Rhinolophus ferrumequinum: one gene and its partners. The protein of the gene in region 1 purifies or fractionates together with the protein of each later gene. This does not show direct contact. Links are inferred from orthologs where the notes say so. Each region holds a gene or a part of one and is shown on either strand. Other genes may lie near its edges.

Region 1 (3,743 bases):
CCCAGATACCCAGCCTTGTCCTGCAAAAGAGCAGGGCTCCGGAGAGGCCTCAGCCTGGTGTGGCCTCCAACAAGCTTCCATCCTTGTGGAGGAGACAGAGCCTGACTGACACTCCCATTCTCCTGATTAAAACTTTGCTCAGATCGCTTCTTAGCCTTTTGGCTAAGATCAAGGGTAAAACTTTGCTCAGAGCAAAGTTTTAAAAAATCATGAGCAGCCAGGACACAAGGAAGGGAGCCAAGGGGGAGGGACTGGAATAGAGGAAGGATGCTAGAGCCAAAAAGAGAGGAAGTGGAGTGTCAGAACGTTAGACAGCACGTGGCTAGTGACTGTTACATACTCACTAGGGAGGAAGTTGGGCTGAACAAGTCAGATAATGAAGGGTTGAGGGAGGCTAATTCTGCTTTTCAGATCTTTTCATTTGTCTTGATTTCTTTTGTATACCTCCAGAGATGGGGAACTCACTCCCAAGGGAGACAGCATGGGCACCGGCCCCTGTCAAAATGTTTAATGCAACATGGTTTTTCAAGTATTGACAGCCATATGTAAAAGGGCTGAATGAGATTGGGGAGCGAGGGGTACCCCTGTGAACCAGGCAGTCAGTCCCTGCCACAGGCTGGATCTTGAATCAGGCCCACCTGAGTTCTAATCTCTGTTCTACCATTTATGGGCCCGTGACTTCATCTCTCCAAGCCTAAGTTTTCTCTCCTTTCCTTTGAAATGACCCTGATAACAGCACATACCTCAGAGGTTTAGGGATGTACTTAATGAGCTAGTGGAATAAAATGCTTGGCACACAGCAGGTGCAGAAGTGGGTTGCCTCACTCCAGGCCCAAAGTGCTCTGGAATGTCTGAAACATACTGTCCTTTGCTAGCTCTAAAACTTCACAGGAGCATGCGCTTCTGCCTCACCGTGCACTTGCTCCACCACCCACACCTGGCAAACCCCCACATATCCCTCAAAGCCCGAACTATAAGATACCTTTCTTTTCTCTGTTTAAGCCCTGACCTAGGGAGCTAGGAGTATTTGGGCATGATTCTGATTGGGCCCACTGTGATGCGATGTGAGGTGAGCTCCCGGAGGGCAGGGATTCTGATTCGCATGTGGTAGGCATGCAGTCAAAGCTTGTTAGATGGATGGATGGATGGATGGATGGATGGATGATCATTAGGGAGAGAAGCCCAAAGCGAGACCCAAGAGTCCACCAGCCCAGACCTCAAAAGGCCGGGAGGGTGCAGATAAGCGGAAGGAGGGGGGCTTCCGGGCGGGGTCTTCAGCGTTTCCGGTGCGGCCCCTTTAAGGGGCAGGGGCAGGGGAGGCGGGGCCAGAGGGGCGGGTGCTCTTAGCGTCAGGGCGGTGCGAAGATGGCGGCGGCGGCGGCGGCGGCAGGGCCCCGGGTGGCTGAGGCGCCCAGCGCCTTGCTACTCGTGGTGGGAGGCGAATGCGGGTGCCCGGGGCTGCTGGCCTATGTATTGGAGGAGCTCGAACGAGGTCAGGCCGGGGCGGGGGAGCGGGGCCGGGAGTAGAGAGACGAGGGGTGGGACGGCCGAGCCAGGGTTGGGGGATGGGGCGGGGGCCCGGAGGGTGTGGCGGCCAGACCGGGCTGGGGGTGGGGGACGGTTGGATCCTAGGGGCTGGGGCCGGGACACCGGGCGGAGGATGGCGGGATCCCGGAGGCCAGGGCCGGGCGGCTGGGCCAGGGGTTTAGGCGGCGTGATCCAGGGGCCCGGGGCTCGGTTCCCCTCACCGTTAGGCGCACGGCGCGGGCGGAGGCTGTGGACGTCTGGGCCCGAGCTGGGTTGCTCAGCCCCAACTCGGGTGCAGTCCGTGAAGCGGACTCGGCCCAGGCTTTGGGACCCGCGCGATTGGGCAACACGGGCGACGACTACGCTTCCCGCCCGCCGGGCCTGCCCAGAGGAGGGCGGGTCGCCTCGATTCCCCGGGTCTTAGCAGCCTGGATGTCCTGGAGGGAGGAGCAGGGATGAGGAGGCCGGGCCTGGAGCCCCAGGGCCCACTTTCCGTGGCACCACAAGTTGCTGCTAATTGGAGTGTGGGCGAGTGCGGCCTACCCAAGAGATTTGGCACCTGGGGAGGTGAGTCATAGGTGCACCTGCAAGGTTCACTTCACCTGCAGTTACTTGGCACGGTGGGACCCGCTGGCGTGGTGCACCACACACCGTGGTTGGAGGGCATTCATCTCTCCAGTTGGCAGGGCCTGGGGTCTGTCGCCTGGAAAATGGGAGGCAGCACACACCTCTCTTCATCCTCTTGGGGAATGTTCCCCTGCAGGGCACAGGGTGGGGACGATTGGCAGGCTGAGCCCTGCTGTCACAGGGCTAAACGGTCTGGTTGGGGTAGACCCAAGATGAGTGCGGAGCTGGAACGAATTTTTAGCTCAAACAGTGTCAGGAGTGTCCAGATGGATGCAAAGGCCAGAGGACCTGAAGGGTGGGGAGGTGTGGGAAGGTGTGGGAAGGGTTGGACAGTGGGAACAACTGGTGCCAAAGCCCAGAGGTGGGAATACGCCTAGCAGTAGAGAAGAGCAGTGAGACCCATGGTGGGGTGAGGCAGATGCTGGGGGGGCCAGATGACCATTCAGGTGGGGGCTTTCTTGCTGAGGTCCTGAATCTTCTCTGTAAAATGCCAAGTTACACTTTGGGGTCCTCAGTGCAGCTGCCGTGAGCCCGTAGGGCCCATGAGGTGGTTCTGAGTTTCCAGGCTGTCACTGCAGCTTGTGGGGAGGGGGCTGATTTCCCACCTCGCTTCCCCTACCCCCACCAGGCATCCGGTCCTGGGACATTGACCCTGGCATCTGCAGCCTGGATGAGCAGCTCAAGGTCTTCGTGTCCCGGCACTCAGCCACCTTCTCCAGCATCGTGAAAGGTGAGGCTGGGGACCCCGTGTGCCGCAGCTGCTCCCCTTCTGTGTTCATTGGGCAAGTGTTCTCTGAGTGTCCAAACAATGGCAGTAATCACCTGAGCTCTGCCCTGTGCAGAGCAGGGGCAGGAGTGCTGTCTCAACAGCCTATGAGGCAGGAACTTGCGTTTTTATCCCCCTTTGACAGATGAGGCAGCTGAGGTGTAGGGGATAGGGAGACCTCCAAAAAGGGGGCTTTGTGGAGGAGAAGCAGCTGGGGCTGCTGTATCAGGTGGAGGGAAGGGCCCAGGCAAAGAGACAGGACATTTGGAAAGTGAGGGACTGCTGGGTGGGCTTAGAGGGGGGAGTACGGGCCTTGTGTGACAGAATGTGTCTGGTGAGTGGCTGTGACTCCTGCACACGCCCGGTACACAGCAGGTACTCAGTAGATGGGGAGCTGAGAAAGGAGTAAGATCGAGGAGAAATTTGGGATGCCTGGGCCAGCTTCACATAGCCTGTGGCTCCCTGGGGATTCTGGGGTGACCTGGGGTGAACAGAGCAGCTGCTAGGTGGAACCCGGCTGTCGCCTGTAGCCCCCCCTTGCCTCAGCCAGCCCTTTGAGTCATGTCCAGGCTGCTGCAGGAGGGGAAGGAAGTGACCACCGCCTCATTGTCCAAGCAGTTCCAGGTGGCTTCCTGACCTCTTACAGGATGGGGGCGGGGCTGGAAATCCCATGCCGGCCTTGTGTGACCTCCACTGCCACTTCCCCTCTTTGTGCCTTGGTTTCCCCACCTGAATTGGGCAATACTTGGATGTGTGATAAGAAACACGTGATAAACTGCTAAAGGTTAACTGGAGCTAGAATATCCTTCCCTCTCCGGCCTTG
Region 2 (3,743 bases), on another chromosome or scaffold:
AACTATGTTTCTGGTATGTCATTAAGTGAAAAAGAACGAATAATAAAACCATATTACGATTTTTTTAAAAGGCAGGAAGAAAGGGCCAAGGAAGTTACTCGTAAGATGCCACATGGGCGGGAAGGGTGGTGGAGGCGCCTGGTGGGACAGTGGGCCATGGGGAAAGGAAGCCCCCTGAACCGAGGGACAGAGCGAGGTCTGAGTAATTCGGCTCCGGGGGGGGGGGGGGCTGGGGGAGACGAGAGAGAAGCAGCCCTGGCGGAGAAAACGAGGGCCAGGGTCGTACCTTGCGCCTGCATCACTCGCAGCGCGCGGCTGTAGAAGGTGGCAGCCTCGGCGAACTGGCCGTTGCGGAAGCTCTGGTTGCCGGCGGCGCGGAGCCCCTCCACAGAGTTGGCAAGTTTGGGGGCCATCCCGGGACCGGCCGGCAAATGGGGGGCGCGTCCGTTCCCGCCGCCGAGTCTTGCGGAAAAGCGTCCGGGCGGAAGCACAAGCTGCGAGTACTGGGTCCGATGGCCAAGCTGACCCGGAGGAGGGACGCAGGTGGGCGGGGTTGAGGCCTGCGCCAATCAGGGGGCCGCAGCGCCGGGCCCTCGGCGCATGCGCAGTGTGGCGTACACGCTTCGGAGGGCCACTACCTCTTTGGAGCGGCGTTGGGCGCCTTGGTGTGTTGCAGCACTATGCGTGAAACAAAGAGGCGAAGTCCCTGCTTTCTTTTGTATACTAGTGGGACCTGAAAGGCAATTAACTCATCAGCAAGTGAAGAGGATAACCTCAGAATGTTGTTAGTGTTATAAGGAAAATAAAACACTACTGCACTAGAAAGGGACCACGTGGGGACTATTTTAGATAAGGAGGATGGGGAAAGCATCCGAGGGACTAACAGCTAAGACCTGAGATTTAGGCAACGCTGTTGCAGACAGAGGGATCGCAAATGCAAAGGCACTGCCACCTGTACACATGAATCTGTTTCTGTTTCTCTTGCTTCCTAACCTTTGTTTATGCTCTTCTCTTGGAATTATTTTCCAAACACCGTTTCTCTTGCCTTATCCTGACTCAATCAACTCAAATATTTTATCTGCGAATCTTTCTTGACTACTCCTCCCCTCTTCCACTATGTGGACTTGTTCCCCGGGTTTATCCCTAATTTAGTACTTCTCACTCTGAGTGTCAGTTTAGTTTTTCTCAAAGACTGAGGCCGGCACTTCTCAAGCAGCCTCAGCATCTCCGTCAGAGAAATGGGGGATCGGGACCGAGGCAGAGACGGGTTGTGGGCCTGGGGACCGAGTGTTTTGGGCAAAGCGTCGCAACGAGACCGCATCATCAAGTCTCGAACCTGACTGGGGCACACAGAGTAGGAGCCTTCTTGACTCCACAGTTCCGGGTCCGCGCCCTGGTTCGCCACCTGACTCAGGCCCTCACCACGTGATCTAGGCCGGTGCCTCAGGGCCCTGCCCAGCTCCCCGCGCCTCACGCCGCTTCCGGTATGGGCGGAAAGCGGAAGTGTGGGAGGGTCTGCTGGGCGGGCTCAGGGAGGTCCCGGGGGAGGATGGGTCAGTGAGCGGGTCTGGGCGGCTGCTGGCAGCGCCATGGAGACCGTGCAGCTGAGGAACCCGCCGCGCCGGTGAGGGGCCACTGGCTAAGAGGAACGGCGTTGGGGAGGGAAAGGCAGGGACACCTATGTGCGAGCCCCCCGGAGGGGAGGGACCTACGGGGCGGGCGATCCGGCTGATGGGGCACCTGCTGAATAGGGGACCTCTGGCGGCTGGTGGTCCGACAGAGGGGAGCAGGCGCGGAGGGGGATAAACGTGGGTCTGGTTAGGGAGAGCACTTTCTGTGAGGGGACATCCTCGGGGAAGAGGGGCATCACTGAAGGGAGCAGCTGCTGAGGAAGGCGGGGACAAGTTCGAGAGAGCACCTGCTGAGGGCTGGGGCTACTGGGGGAAGGCTATCCTGGGGACTCGCTGGGATAGGGGGAATGTGGAAGCAGGATGAGAACCTGTGAGGGGTCTAAGGAATGGATCTGGACAAGCAGAGAGGAAGGCTGGGTGGACTTTGTAAGGGAAGGAGTCCCACCCGTGGGGTACAGCGTGGGGAGGATCTGCTGAGGGGAGAGGAAAGCTTTGCTCCTAAGGCAGAAGGTGTGCCAAGAAAAGGTAAAGGTCTAGCAAGGGAAGGGGGTGTGGAGGATAGCATTTAGGAAGATTTTTTGGTACTGATCCCACTCTAGCAGGAATGACAGACGGCATCTTTTCATTCCTGATGTCTGGTGTCTTCCTTTTTTTTTTTTTGACATCCTCCTCAGCTCTTCAAAACCTGACTTTGGAAGGTAGATAAGGAAATAAGAATAAATGGGCAAATTGAGGCCCAGAGAGTTGAGACACACTCTTGTGTGTTTCCTTTTTTGCACTAGCAATGCATCCTTAGACCCGGGCCAGACTGTGCCTTTTTCAGGCCTTGATTGTTGTGAATATCACCTCCAGATCCTACAGCTACCTGGAATTGTTTTAAGTCAAGCTCTTAAAACAGGAAGGTGACTGAGCCTAGAAAGTCTGAACTCCTGAGTTGGTGGCAGTTGTATCATTGATTTGTTCCATGGACACTAAGCTCTGTGTCACTCTGCCACATCTGGAGAAAAATAGTTGATACGCAGGGAAGTCATGCTTCTCCGAGGTGCAGGGTAGTTAGTTAGCTTCTCTTTCACAGAGACCTCACTTCCTGCAGCAGAAGGAGCACTGAAGTAGGAAGTGTTTAGTGTGTGGACTGCAGGGCAATAGAGAGATGAAGGGAAGGGATTGGCAGCGTGGGCTGCACACTTGGGGTTTGTTTGAAGTGCACAAACACTGCAGAAGGCAAGTAGCTGGTTAGGATGGACTCATAATTCACCCTACTACAGTGTGCTGAGACTGAAATAAGAATGATTATTACACTCACACCGCACTTACTGAATGCTGGACGCTGTTCTCAGTACTTTTTCCATGTCTCCTGTTGAACCATATGGAATTGTTGATATTGACCATTTTTGACCTATAAAAATGGTAATTTCACATGATTCAACTTACACATTTGATCCTCACAACATTCCAATGAGGCGGTTATCTCTGTATCTATGTTACCGGTGATAAAACTGAAGCACAGAAAGGTTAGTGATTTGCTGGAGGTCCCACAGTTAGTAAGTAGCAAAGCTGGGGTTTTAATCCAGGCAGTGTGGTCCAGAGTCCATGCTCTTAACTGCATGGTTCTGATGCCTCTCTGGAAGTCTCCCTGTTTCACAGGGCCTGTGTATGTTAGCAAAGATTTGCTATCGCACCATCGTGAGCCAATTATGAATGTACACCGGTTATATTTCTTAATGAAATAATGTTCATTCTTTCTCCATGGTGTTGGTTTACTTGAAAAGAAAATTAGACATCTGAGTTTTGTTTCTACCTTTGCCTTGTGTTGTATAATCGTGTGCAAAAGAGTGAACTTTTTTGCTTTTGACACTCATTCCTGTGTCTTTTAGATTTTAAAAAAATGTGTTAAATGTGCAAGAGAAGAGCCATGGCAGGGCCGAATTCTTGAATGATTGCTTTCCTGGCCTCATAACTAGCAGACTGCCTAGTTTGCAGCAACGATAATACAAATGATAACTTGATCATCGTTTGTATTAGTTTGTTAGGACTGCCATGTCGCATTCACAGACTGGGTGACTTAAACAACAGAAATTTATTTTCTCACGGTTCTGGAGGCTGGAAGTCTGA
Region 3 (3,743 bases), on another chromosome or scaffold:
TCCCTGACCCTTTTCCCAGGTGGGCTGAGACCTACAGGCTGGATGTGCTAGAGGCAGTGGCTCCAGAGCGGCCCCGCTGTGCCTACTGCAGTGCGGAGGCCTCGAAGCGCTGTTCACGGTGCCAGAATGAGTGGTATTGCTGCAGGTGAGGGTATCCTGGGACCTTAGCGGGTCCCTAAGCCACACTTCCACACCCTCCACAAGCGCTGCATCCTCACAGGCCCACTTGCCTGCAGGGAGTGCCAAGTCAAGCACTGGGCGAAGCATGGAAAGGCTTGTGTCCTGGCAGCCCAAGGTGACAGAGCAAAGTGAAGACTGCAGCTCCTGAGAGCGGGCCACCCATTCCATACACCCCAGCTAGAATGTGCCCCTGAACCTCAGCATTTCCGCCTGGCTTCTGCAAGAGCCCCAATTTCCCAGGTGGTGAGCCCAGCAGGCGGGCTGGAGCTGCTGCCCCATCTTCCCCAGCAAAGCGCTCCCCGCTTCCTGCCGCACCCAGCGGGTAGGCTTAGGGCGCTGCCTCAGCTGGGGCAGGAGGCCTGGGGGGAGGAGGGACAAGGGCGGGGGCCGGATGTGGGGACCCTCTTCCTCTTGCACAGTAAAGCTGGCTTCCAGAAACACGCCTGTCTCCGCGTGGCCCTTTGCGGTCGTCGTCGTTAGGGGGAGGAGAGTTGCTCGTGGGATGAAGGGAGGGAAGGAAAGGAGGGCGGGGACACCGCGAGAGTCCACCGCGGCCCCACTCTGCCTGCGGGCCGACACAGTCTGGGCACCCCGGTTTCTACTGAGCTGCTCTCCTCGGCTCTCGCCCACCGCTCTGCCTGGATCTCAGGGGCGGCGCCGCATCGGGGCCCGCCCCGCGGTCCTACCGGCCCCGCGCTCGTTCGCGCCCAGAGCCGGCCGGAGCCTGGGCCGACCGGGCCATGTCCGCTGATCCTGAGCTCATTGAACTGCGGGAACTGGCACCGGTGGGGCGCGCCCGCCCGGGTCGCACCCGGCTGGAGCGTGCCAACGCGCTGCGCATCGCGCCTGGCACAGCGCGCAATCCGGCAAGGCAGCCGGTCCCGGGCCGAGGTCACCGCTTCCAGCCTGCGGGGCCCACCACGCACACGTGGTGCGACCTCTGCGGCGACTTCATCTGGGGCGTCGTGCGCAAGGGCCTGCAGTGCGCGCGTGAGTAGCGGCCCCACGCGCTGGCGAGAGCGAAATGGGTGGTCAAGGGGCAGCACCGTCGCTGCAGTTCAAGTTGTGTGTGTGTGTGGGTGGGGGAGGGTCGGTGGGGACAGTCCCTGAGGACCAGGTCCGTTACCTTTGCCCCATTTTGGAAGAGAGTGTAGGCACATGTTTTATATCCTTGCTGCGCCCCCCGTGTCTGGGGCACAGTTGGGTAGAGGCAGTTGTCTGTAAATAATAAGGTGCTGATTTCAAGTTTCTTACCTTTAAAATGCCTTGGCCCTTCTTGAGAAAGGCTTTGTGCCTACCAGTCTCTGAGTCCATATTCCCAGGACTGACTCTTCCCAAAGGTTCACTCACCAATGTCCCCTTCCAGAATCCCTGGGGTGAAGGGAATTTTCGCACCTATGGGAGGGGGCTTGGGAAAAGTTAGAACCTTGGGCGGGCCCCCTGCAAGCAGGAATTTTGATGATAGCAATTATGTATCACAGACCCTGTCAATTAGGTGCTAAAACGTGAGACCCAGACACCCACACACCAGCAGCCCTTCTGCCCTCCTGGTAATCAACAGCAAGCAGAAGTTGCTCTCCCACTGGCTATCTGCGAACTAAAATCATTTGGGATGCTTGTACAGCCCTCCAAATCCCTATGCCTGGCCCCTACCTCAGACCTGTTTAATCAATCACTGGGAGTTTATCAGGGATTTTTAAAAACATCTTTCTAATGTGCAGCCTGGGTTGAGAATCACTGCTCTGGCCCATTTAAGAACTTAGGGAAGGTGTCCCAGGCCTGTCTGTGTGTGCATGGAGACCCTCTCATCCAGTACAGGACTCTGTCCTGAATTCAGCTGGGGGACACCGGAGATGTGGCAGAATACAAGGCATGAATAAGGGCTGGGACACTGCAGTGTTCGCCAGCAGGAATAAAGTGGCCATGGAGATGAAAAACAGGACAATTTGGGTATGTGTCAGAGGCAGAAACGGGGGAGGAATAAAGGACAAATTTGGCTTTGGGTTTTTGTTGTTTTGTTTGCCTCAAACAACTGGGAGAATAGTAGCAACTTTTGCTGAGACAAGGAACTCTGGTGAGGGTAAGGAGAAGTGGAAAAAAAGTGAGTTCAATTTTGGCCATGTTGAACTGAAATGTCTATTAGACATCGAAGTGAAGGTACTGACACATAGGAGTTGATCTGAGAGGGAGGCCACTGATGGAAGCCTTGGATCCTGGGTGAGTGTACACAGAGCAGAGAAGCGATCAAGACTGAGCCTCTGTGACACTGCCTGCCATTAGATCTGGGAATTGAGACAGAACCAAGAGGAGCTGCAGGGAAGTAGGAGGGAAAATCGGGGTCATGGGGGTCCATGAGAACCAAGGGGAGCAGCATCAGATTTTGAGGTGAGGATAGAGAAGGGACCACCGGAATCGGCTTTGAGCCTGTTGCTGAGGGACCGAGACCAGGACAGTTTCCTGGAGGGAGGGGCAAGCCCTACTGGAATAGGTAGAGAAGAGTGAAGGCAAAAAATTACAGTGCATGTAGATCAGTGTTGATAAGCTTTAGTGTGAGGGGAGTTGAGACAGATGACTGGAGGGGGCCGTGGATTAAAACTATTTTCCCCTTCAAGGGCACTGGGAGGGGGCTGACAATGTGGAAGGGGGACGTTCTGCGCTAGGCGCTAGAGCAGGCCTGGATTCCCTAACAGCCCGATGCCTTCCTGCCCGTTTCCGGACGCCGGGGACCAACACTAGAATCTGTGTGGCAGTGGGCGGTAACGGGGCCTGAAATGGCCGGTCATGCAGAGCCCGGTGGTCAATGGCCTTCACCCCGGGGCTTCTCTTCCGTCCCCGGGACGCATCGCCAGGCTGGCGCTCCTCCGTCTCACGGCCAGGCCTCTCTACAGATTGCAAGTTCACCTGCCACTACCGTTGCCGCGCGCTCGTCTGCCTGGACTGCTGCGGGCCCCGGGACCTGGGCTGGGAACCGGCGCTGGAGCGGGACACGAACGTGGTAAGTGCGGGGCCGACGGCGAACGGGCGAGACAGGGACGCGTAGACTAGCGGGCCGCATTGCAATGCTTTGGCCCTCCCGGCGTTACGCGCAATGGGCGTTCTGACAGCAGATTTTCCCGCGGCGGAGAGTGGCTAACTCTGCGCGCGCGGGCTCGAAGGGGTGCCGAGGGTGCCGCCTTCGTGCGGACTGCCACAATCGCCCAGGCTCTGCGCCCGCGCAACTTCCGCACCTTTCCGCATCCGGTCCTGCAGCCACGCTGGTGCACATGCGCACACGCTCCGACGTGGTCCCTTGGGGAGGTGGGGCCTGCGGGTGGAGCTGAGTTGAGCTGCCTGGGCGCTGAGATCATTCCCGGAGGCGATGCGCGTGTGGCCCCGCCCCTCGAAGTTCCTCCTCCAATGAGACCAGAGCTAGACTCTGCGGGCTATGTTTCCGTGCTAACGGTCGTGGTGCGGGCACTGGCCCCAGCGCACGCGCACACGGAGAAACGCGCCCGCGCACGCGCGCCTGGGGCGGTGGTGGTAGGCTACCGGCGCACCGGGCTCTGGAAGTTGGCGGGCGGGCG

What was found. Proteins that work in one complex are often made in the same cells at the same time.
Region 2: the proteins of MAP1S (region 1) and STK4 purify together in Homo sapiens (affinity purification with mass spectrometry; 3 studies listed by BioGRID and IntAct, with this or other methods). This does not show direct contact. The link is inferred for Rhinolophus ferrumequinum from reciprocal best matches to the Homo sapiens genes MAP1S and STK4.
Region 3: the proteins of MAP1S (region 1) and RASSF1 purify together in Homo sapiens (affinity purification with mass spectrometry; 4 studies listed by BioGRID and IntAct, counting the BioPlex papers as one, with this or other methods). This does not show direct contact. The link is inferred for Rhinolophus ferrumequinum from reciprocal best matches to the Homo sapiens genes MAP1S and RASSF1.

What each region holds. Positions count from the first base shown.
Region 1 is NC_046301.1:50,744,332-50,748,074, forward strand, and holds the start of MAP1S (microtubule-associated protein 1S), read left to right. Parts: upstream 1-1,345; 5' UTR 1,346-1,365; coding exon 1,366-1,492; intron 1,493-1,848; coding exon 1,849-2,094; intron 2,095-2,782; coding exon 2,783-2,884; intron 2,885-3,566; exon of another isoform or gene 3,567-3,704; intron 3,705-3,743. UniProt on the Homo sapiens protein: Microtubule-associated protein that mediates aggregation of mitochondria resulting in cell death and genomic destruction (MAGD). Plays a role in anchoring the microtubule organizing center to the centrosomes. Binds to DNA. Plays a role in apoptosis.
Region 2 is NC_046306.1:12,782,263-12,786,005, reverse strand, and holds the start of STK4 (serine/threonine-protein kinase 4), read left to right. Parts: upstream 1-1,511; 5' UTR 1,512-1,589; coding exon 1,590-1,624; intron 1,625-3,743. Other genes in the region: TOMM34 (mitochondrial import receptor subunit TOM34), read right to left, coding at 287-413. UniProt on the Homo sapiens protein: Stress-activated, pro-apoptotic kinase which, following caspase-cleavage, enters the nucleus and induces chromatin condensation followed by internucleosomal DNA fragmentation.
Region 3 is NC_046300.1:6,263,593-6,267,335, forward strand, and holds the start of RASSF1 (ras association domain-containing protein 1), read left to right. Parts: upstream 1-765; 5' UTR 766-920; coding exon 921-1,170; intron 1,171-2,027; exon of another isoform or gene 2,028-2,130; intron 2,131-3,068; coding exon 3,069-3,175; intron 3,176-3,616; exon of another isoform or gene 3,617-3,743. Other genes in the region: ZMYND10 (zinc finger MYND domain-containing protein 10), read left to right, coding at 20-145, 237-312. UniProt on the Homo sapiens protein: Potential tumor suppressor. Required for death receptor-dependent apoptosis. Mediates activation of STK3/MST2 and STK4/MST1 during Fas-induced apoptosis by preventing their dephosphorylation.